Kluyveromyces lactis: one gene and its partner. The protein of the gene in region 1 purifies or fractionates together with the protein of each later gene. This does not show direct contact. Links are inferred from orthologs where the notes say so. Each region holds a gene or a part of one and is shown on either strand. Other genes may lie near its edges.

What was found. The genes of interacting proteins can lie anywhere in the genome.
Region 2: the proteins of CUS1 (region 1) and HSH155 purify together in Saccharomyces cerevisiae (affinity purification with mass spectrometry; 8 studies listed by BioGRID, with this or other methods). This does not show direct contact. The link is inferred for Kluyveromyces lactis from reciprocal best matches to the Saccharomyces cerevisiae genes CUS1 and HSH155.

What each region holds. Positions count from the first base shown.
Region 1 is NC_006042.1:790,059-794,091, forward strand, and holds CUS1 (U2 snRNP complex subunit CUS1), read right to left. Parts: upstream 2,253-4,033; coding exon 801-2,252; downstream 1-800. Other genes in the region: peptide alpha-N-acetyltransferase complex A subunit NAT1, read right to left, coding at 1-421; BIL1 (Bil1p), read right to left, coding at 2,487-2,717; RRG7 (Rrg7p), read left to right, coding at 2,909-3,610; MCH5 (riboflavin transporter), read right to left, coding at 3,871-4,033. UniProt on the Saccharomyces cerevisiae protein: Essential splicing protein required for U2 snRNP binding to pre-mRNA during spliceosome assembly.
Region 2 is NC_006037.1:834,058-838,946, forward strand, and holds HSH155 (U2 snRNP complex subunit HSH155), read left to right. Parts: upstream 1-1,595; coding exon 1,596-4,460; downstream 4,461-4,889. Other genes in the region: GPI-anchor transamidase subunit GPI16, read right to left, coding at 1-1,329; APL6 (AP-3 complex subunit beta), read right to left, coding at 4,535-4,889. UniProt on the Saccharomyces cerevisiae protein: Contacts pre-mRNA on both sides of the branch site early in spliceosome assembly.

The sequences.
Region 1 (4,033 bases):
CATGAATTTGAGATTGCAATGTCGCCAAATCTCTATAGATTTGAGTGTTTGTAGAACCATTTTCTAATGCGGCCTTGAACCACTTTACAGCGTCTGAGTAATTTTTCACCTGTCTGTAATAAATTCCTAATAAGTGTCCACCAATTGGACTTACAAGAGTGCCTTTAATTTTGGATAACGCTTTATCAATGTAACTAGCAGCTTCTTCAGGTGTACTACAGAATTGCAAGTTCAATCCCTTCAAAATTATAGAGTCCACATGACTGCTGTTCTTCTTCAAGATTGTGTCCAAGATCTTCAACGACTTCTTGTAATTTTTACCTTCATATAGTTGCAGTGCTTCCAACATATTGCTGTCATCCTTAGACCTACCAATTGGAAGTCCCACTTTCCCGTGAGATAGTCCCTTTTTTTTATACATGCTAGTGTAGATCAATGGGTCGCTGAGTGTAGATAAGCAAGCCAGTAAGAGTGTTTCTCCATTTATTCAGTCATGAATATGATTGTTGAACTTGATAATTTTCATGATTTAGACGTTGACTATTGTAAATTTTTCAGTTTAGAGATACATTGAAAATGAAATGTTTGGGTTTGAACGAACTGAAGGTAATAGTTAGCAAGCGGAGCTGGTACGATTCAAGGAGTTTATTACTCACCTACTGCAATAAAGTTAAAACATGTTGCAATCCAATGATACTTTTGATATAGTTACATACTCACATTTACAAATATTTTACGTAATTAAAGGGAAACAGCTGACACTTTTGAAACGTAGGGTTTCTAACGAGTTAATGTAAAGATCAAAAACGGAAGTCAGGCTCTTCTTCCACTTTCTGTTTTTTATGTAAGACATTATCATCGTCCTTCTCCTCTACGCTTGTTGATCGTTTGTTCGTAATATTGTAAGAGGTAGTGGAACTGATTATTGTAGATCCGTCGACTTCGTTTGATTTAGCTTCCGTTAGAACAGTAAATAAGGGTCTATTTTCATCATAGTGCTGGTTGACTACAGAGCCTCCATCAATTGGCACTAAGCCTGAATTATTGTTTTCATGTGTCTCGCTTTCTGTTTTTGTTGCTTCCGCTTCATTGGCGTCTGAAGACACCTCATCGTCGGAAATTGATTCGTTCAACGGATCTGGATCAATATGTGCGTCTTGATCTTCTAATTCTTCAAATGAGAACATGGCTCCGAATAAGTTTTGTTTGGGTATTCTCAAAGTATCTTCAGGGTAGTATCCGTATTGTGTACCGGTAAGATTAGAGATTTCCCAATTTATTCCACAGACTTTCATACCAGGGTATGATTTGGGTAGTCCTAATCTATTCATTTCATGACACCAAGGCGGGAGCATCCCCTCCGTGAGATTTAATGCCTCCCTTAAAGTTTCCGATAGATACCCTGGTCTATATCGTGTCTTTATTTGTTTCCATTCGAGTTCACTATCCAAACTTCTGTTTTCATAATATAAATCACCAAATGACAATAGTTCAGGTTTCCAATTCTTTCCCAAAGTGAAAAATGCTTCGTACAACCTTTTATAATCTAGATCTAATACACCTAGCTTGGGTTGAACTTTTGCTCTGGTAATATCCTTCAATTTCTCTGCTTGCTTTTCGTTTCCAGAGGGAACAGTCTCTCGCATCGTTTCAATATCGGTTTGTCTAATAATCTCAGGTAATTGAAATGGCTTCCTTTCCATCATTGATCGTCCAGATAAATAACCTCTTTTCATTTGCCAATGTCTGGGGATCCCCACTGTATTATGTGTTGTCTTTATAGCTGCATTGAAATAAGGCCATTGCGCATCGCAGTCAAACCATTCGATGAGTTCCGGATATGGTACTGAAGCTTTCAAAACAGCAATACTTGGTTTGTTAGCAAGTCTCTTTTGTCTTTCTGATATATTTTGAAGTACTTCATCCGCTTGATCCTCAAAACTGTCGGAACCCTCAGCATCCTCATCGTCAATATCAGCCCGTTCTTTTCGTACTATGGCTTGTTCCCGTTTTGAATCATCATCCTCATCGGCCCCTGTAGCCGAAGCTTTAAATCTTTGTAACACTTTATTGAGACTTTCATCCTTGATAACTAAAGGTTCATTAATTACCTGTTGCGAGGTGTTGCCATTCTCTGATGACACTTGTTGTAACAAACTGGAAAGCCTCTTCTTCCTTTCTTCTGCATCCTCTTTCACAGATCCATTTTTATTCTTTGAACGGCGTTTATTAGCCTTGGCTTTCTTTACCATAGTGCAATATCTGGTGGGCAGTTGACTGTTGTTATATTAATAAGCAGTCGAGCCAGAATACTATTGTATGCTCATCTGTCAATTTGCCTTTTTTATGTCCTTTATTAAGACCACATATATTTTTCAATTAAATGTTGAAATTTATACCATTATATTATACGTGAACAGATATGGCAACATTCAACGGTCTTGTATACATGTGATAGATGCTATATGACTATGGATAATAACGAATCACTCTTCTAAATTCTTGAGTCTATCGTTGATTGAATCGGCGAATTTGTTAAATTGTACATCATCGTCATTCACTTTCCGCAGTAAGTCCTGTAACTTTTGCTGAATATCTGAGGCTATCTCAAACACGGTGGGAACATCTTCGTTGGAATTACCACTATTTTCTGATCCTTTTGGTTCAGGGGTAACAATTGGTTGTGTCGAAATCATCTTTTGAAGTGATGACTGCATGTATATGGCTGTATGTAAGCTAGATCAATAGACTTCAAGGTATGTCGGTTCTATGACATTTACATTTTTTTTAGTTATTTGAATCCGATCCAAATTTTGGTGATACAAATGATACATGGAGGTGATGAGACTAACAATGGCGAGAACGCCAGCTGGTCTATTTTGTCCATGATAGCCTATTAGGTATACAGATGAGTTGGAAAGGGGTTTTTGCAAGTTCATTTCCCAAAGATACTTTACAGAAGTATATTGCTGCCAATGAGAGCATCGCCAACTCTACCGTTTTTCAAGGTACGCTATATGAGCTCACGGTGGTACGAGAATTAATGAATAAGCTCCGACTGGAGGATATGCAGGTAGTTGGCGGTTCATATGATGGCGGCATTGATATTCGGGGCAAATGGAACGTTTTACCATTAACAAAGGCTATAGAAATGCAAATACAATTCGATGAGCTACCTAAACGTTTGAAACTTCCGACTACATCGATAAAACCATGGAAACATAGGGTGAAACCCGATAAATATTTAGACTGTTACATTCAATGTAAGGCTTTCAATTCAGATAAAGTTACTGGCCGCCAGGTACGGGAATTAATTGGATCATTCTCCATGCAAGTTCCCGCTCGTAAAAGAAACTCGAGCATAATGATAATGAGCTCTCCAACTTTGTTTACAAAAGATGGAATAAGGCTGTTTAATGAGGCCGCAATACCAATGGTATTTACCAAAGTGGATATGATCCAGAGATTAGCTGATGGAAGCTTCGATGTGAAAAACTCGGGAAAACTACAGCATTATTATGAGAATGACTATGCATCGAAATTACTTGCAAATTGTGGAATCAAAGAATGGTTAAAATTGAAAGGTTATGAGTCCTTAGCACAAAAATGAAATATTAGCACGCAATTACGCTATCAGAAAAGTTTAAATAGAATGAAACCTGTACATATGATGAATGTAATAAATATGATATGCTAATTAATTTAAAGATGTATAAATTTATAAAGGTTGTGTATCTGATTATGCAGCGCATGAAAACGAGATAGGAATGTATATAGTAGCCAGGTTAAAATTATGTATTAATGATGTCTCGATGTTGAAGGGAAGGCGTAAGTTTTAAAACAAGTTTGGGAATAGTTGTGGATGGCATTTTAGAATCTCTTCATATTGAAGCCCACTGCTAATGTCTTGGAAATCATATAACATATAGCAGAGACAAATGACGTGACACCGCACCAAATTACATAGTGGTCATAGCCCTTGAAACTCTTTTCTGGTCCGATGATGGCACCTGTAATAGGAACTGCTACTAAA
Region 2 (4,889 bases), on another chromosome or scaffold:
TACTGATCTTAACCCGCCACGGTCTTGGCCATAACCAGTGAGAGCTCTGGAAACGTATATTGGAGTCTTTTTGGAGGGTAGTACACTCTTAGAGTCTGTCGTTTCCAAGCGAACATCATGTGGTTTGTTATTGTTGAGATCGAAACAGTTGTCGTCGGTTGCAAAATATGATTCGTCGACCTGTATCATAACGTCCCAATGTGAGGGAACGTGAACACATATTTTTGAGCTTTGTTCGCCAAGCAAGCTGCCTCCACGGATTTTCTTACCAAATAGTTTTGAGATGCTGAAACTAACTTCTTTGCTTTGAGGTAACGGGAAACATTGGAACGCGTCGTGTGGTCTATTCGTGTCACAACGAAGTTCGTCGCCTGGTAAAGGCTTCGGAATTGGTCTGTCAGCTCTGGCCAAAGCATTTGGTACGTTGACCACTGTTTCGATAAATTCTTCCATAACAAAGTGGCAATTGGCAGTTGATTCGTCACAAACAGTATTGACATCAATCGACAGACTGTGCCAATTTGAATCAAAGATCTTGTGGCCATCTAACAAAGAGGAGATACCAGATTTCCCTCTTGTTGGTAAAAGTTTTACAAATGGGGTCAAATTTTCAGTACAAACCGGTTCGTTGGCTAAAGTTGCTCTCATGAGGTAAAGATGGTTGCTTTGATTCAGTAGTGGGATCGCTTCGTCTTCTTTCGGTAAGAATGATGATACCGGAAACGTCGTCTTTGAAGTGTCAATGAAATTGATGGAAGCACAGAACAATCCACTTAACGAATTGGCCAACGTTATCCATGATTTCAACGCTTCTTCCTTCGATGGTGCTTCCACAATAGCCCATAATTCCACACCTGTTCCTCCAGATTTCAACCCGTTGTGTGGAAGCTGGCCCCATTCTTGTGAATCCCATAGCCCATGTGTAAATCTCAAGTGTAACTGTCTGGTATTAGTCTGTGACATAATGGGCCCAACGGGCTTCGGGAAAACTGTGTGATGAGAGTATTCACTGGATTCGTGCTGGTCTCTATCTATACCAAATGGCTCTGATTGCATATAGAACTGAAAACTTGCAAGCAAAAAGTTGTTAGGCAAGGGAGTTAGATCCAGATGCTCTCGAAAATTATACTCAATAGGATGCTCTAGTGAAAGAAACTTCGAGGACTGTGTTATTCTCGATGATTCCCCAGGCTCTGCATTCCAGCTTTCATCTATAACATCTTGCTGAACTGATTCTGTTTCGTTGTCAACTGGATTAACTTCAAAGTCTACTTCAGCCGTCACGATGGCTGCTAGAAGCAAAACTGGAATCCAATTTTGTAACCTCATGCGGTATGGACCCAGAGTATAATACTTTTCTAAAAGTTAGGCTATTTTCTGGCCTCTTAACTAAACTATCCTCTTTTCTCTGTTGAGAAGTATCGTTCTTTGTTTTGTATATGTGTTTATAATTAAAGATTCGAGTTACAACTTAGTAACAATTTTGATGTCAAGAACCTTTGAATCAAAAGGAAGAAAGGTATAACTGAAAGGCAAGCACCAATCAGGATCTTTATTGCTATTGCCGAGTTTGGTATTAAACAGCTGTACTTAAAATGGAAGCTATCAAGTTCGAAAAGTCGGGCCAGCGACATTCTCTTACAGGACAATACACTGCTCCCAGAGCCATATTGGAATCGACTGTAGGGAAAGATGAGGGGGATGATGAGTTGACAGCCAACCAGAAGCAACGAAGCTTGTATAATAAACAGTCTGATTATCATAAGAGAAGGTTCCTTAGGAATTTGGATGAAGAAGTGGATGAAGAGCAAGTGAAAGATGTGAAAAGAAGGAAAACCGATAAGGATGGTGATAAGGAAGAGGAAAGTGGCGGTGGATATACGATGCCCAAGACTTCGCAGCATATTATAACTGAGCTCTCGGAAGAGATGGTTACTGAAGTTCCAGGGGTACGTAATCTTCAGTTCTTTAAGCCTTCAGACAGACAACATTTCGCAATTTTGTTTGATGAAAGGTCTCCAGAAGATATGACTGAAGAGGAAAGGAAACAGAAACAGGTTTTAAAATTGGTACTTAAGGTGAAAAATGGGTTACCAAGCTCTAGGAAAATAGCTCTCAGAGCACTCACTCAAAAGGCACCCTCTTTCGGGGCACCATTGTTATTTGATTCGATCTTGCCCATTCTTCTCGATAAAACACTTGAAGATGAAGAGCATCAACTAATGTTGAAACTTATGGATAGAATTCTTTTCCAGCTCCAGGATTTGGTAAAACCATATACACATAAGCTCCTAATAGTATTATGTCCTATGCTTATAGATCCTGTGCCCTTGACTAGATCTACAGGTAGAGATATTATAACTACTTTGGCAAAAGCCGTGGGACTACCGACAATGATATACACAATGAGACCAGATCTCGACCATGAGGATGAGTATGTGCGAAACACGACGGCGAGAGCAATGGCCGTTGTATCGAAAGCCTTCGGGGTAAGTCAAACAATACCATTCCTACGATTGGTTTGTAGATCGAAAAAGAGCTGGAAGGCAAGACATACTGGGATAAAGATAATTCAGCAAATTGCTATTTTAGTAGGGATTGGTAGCTTACCATACCTCGACGATCTTATCGCATGTATAGAGAAGGGATTTCAAGATGAACATCCTCCAGTGAGAATCATAGCCGCTCAAACAGTGTCATCATTGGCACAAAGCTGCCAGCCATATGGTATTGAGCGCTTTAATCCGGTCCTCGAACCACTTTGGAGAGGTGTTAAACAAAACAGGGGAAGAGAACTAGCTGCATTTTTGAAGGCTCTAGGATTTCTCATTCCGTTGATGGATCCCGAATATGCGTCGTATTACGCTGAAGAAGTGATGAAGATTGTAAAGAGAGAATTCAATTCACCGAACGAAGATATGAAGAAAACGGTTCTATTTGTTATACAAAAGCTTTCCGTGACTGAAGGTGTAACACCTCAGTATCTGAGAAAAGAGCTAGCAGCAGAGTTTTTCAAACAATTTTGGGTTCGTAGATCGGCTTTGGATCGTCAACTCAACAACATAGTAACATTTACTACTGTTTTATTGGCTAATAAGACTGGAGCTGCATTCACGCTTGAAAAGCTTATATATCCATTAAAGGATGAATCTGAACCGTTCAGAACAATGGGTGCACATGCAGTTAACAGAGTTGTGAAAGCATTAGGAATGACAGATGTTGATGAAAGGCTTGAAGCGAGGTTGCTTGATGCTTTACTTATTGCATTCCAAGATCAAACGAATGGTGAGAGAATTGTCTACAGATCTATTGGAACTGTCGCCAAATCTTTGAATACCAGAATGAAACCGTATATTTCGCCGGTGTCAAGTATTATTCTAGAACATTTGAAACACAAAAAACCTTTGGTTAGAACACATGCGGCGAGTTTATGTGCCCTCTTGATCCCGGTTTTCAAACACTGTGAAGAAACAGCTCTTATCAATAAATTCAACATTATCCTTTTTGAATCGTTAGGCGAAGTTTATCCAGAGGTGTTAGCTGCAATCATTTCCGCAATGGACAAAGCTGCTGCACAGATAAGGCTAACTGACTTACAACCACCTCCGAATCAAATTTTACTATCATTGACACCAATTTTGAGAAACAACCATCCTTTAGTCCAGGAATCTACTGTTAAACTTGTTGGAAGAATTGCCAGGCGTGGGCCTGAATATGTTTCTCCTAAAGAATGGATGCGCATTTGTTCTGAGCTTTTGGAAATGTTAAAAAGTCCTGTGAAGTCCATCAGGGTGGCAGCGAACAGAACATTTGGATATATTGCCAAAGCGATAGGACCTCAGGATGTTTTGGTAACGTTGTTAAATAATTTGAAGGTGCAAGAACGTCAACTTCGTGTTAACACCTCTATTGCAATTGGTATCGTTGCTAAGACATGTGGGCCATTTGTTGTCATACCTGCATTGATGAATGAATACAGAACACCTGACACAAACGTACAGAACGGTATTTTAAAGGCACTTGCCTTTATTTTAGAATACATTGGTCCCATGTCTAAGGATTACATTTATCCACTTATACCGTTGTTGCAGGATGCTCTAACAGATAGGGACTTGGTTCATCGACAAACTGCAGCAACCTGCATAAAGCATTTAGCTTTCAATTGTGCAGGAAGAGGATTAGAGGACGCGTTCATCCATTGCATGAATTTATTATTGCCAAACGTCTTTGAAACTTCACCTCATGTTATTTCCAGAATCCTAGAGGGGCTAGAAGGACTAAGAATGGCTCTAGGACCAGGTGTTTCTATGAATTATGCCTGGGGAGGTTTATTTCATCCTGCTAAGAATGTTCGGAACGCATATTGGAAACTATATAACGGAGCATACGTCGCTCAACCAGATGCTTTGGTTCCGTACTACCCTGTCAATGAGGTAGAAGAGCTTAACTTGTTATTATAACTAGAAAATTGCAGTAATTATTATGTAGTTAAAAATTAAAGATTCTATTGGTTTTAAACTAAGTTAGTGATCTCTCAAGGATCGGAAGAAGTAGAACTCCTGTCGTCTTCCTCACCTTCTTCAATATCATCGGTATCATCACTTTCATCGCTGCTTGATTCTTCTAATTGGGCAACATCAGATTCCGTTTCTGATTCTTCCTCTATAACGATCTTCGTTTTCTTCGGTTTCTCTGGGATATCTGCAAAGAATTCATCCAAACTTTGTAGTTTGTAAGTTTTCCCTTTTGAGGATGTGAAAGTTTTTGGCTCTGGACTTGATGATTTGCTGGATATTGGCGAGGAGGCCTTAGGTTGCTGGTAATTAGCCCTAGTCCTACTAGCGAAGAAAGTATTAGATGAAATGCTAGATTTATTCTTCATGAAATTG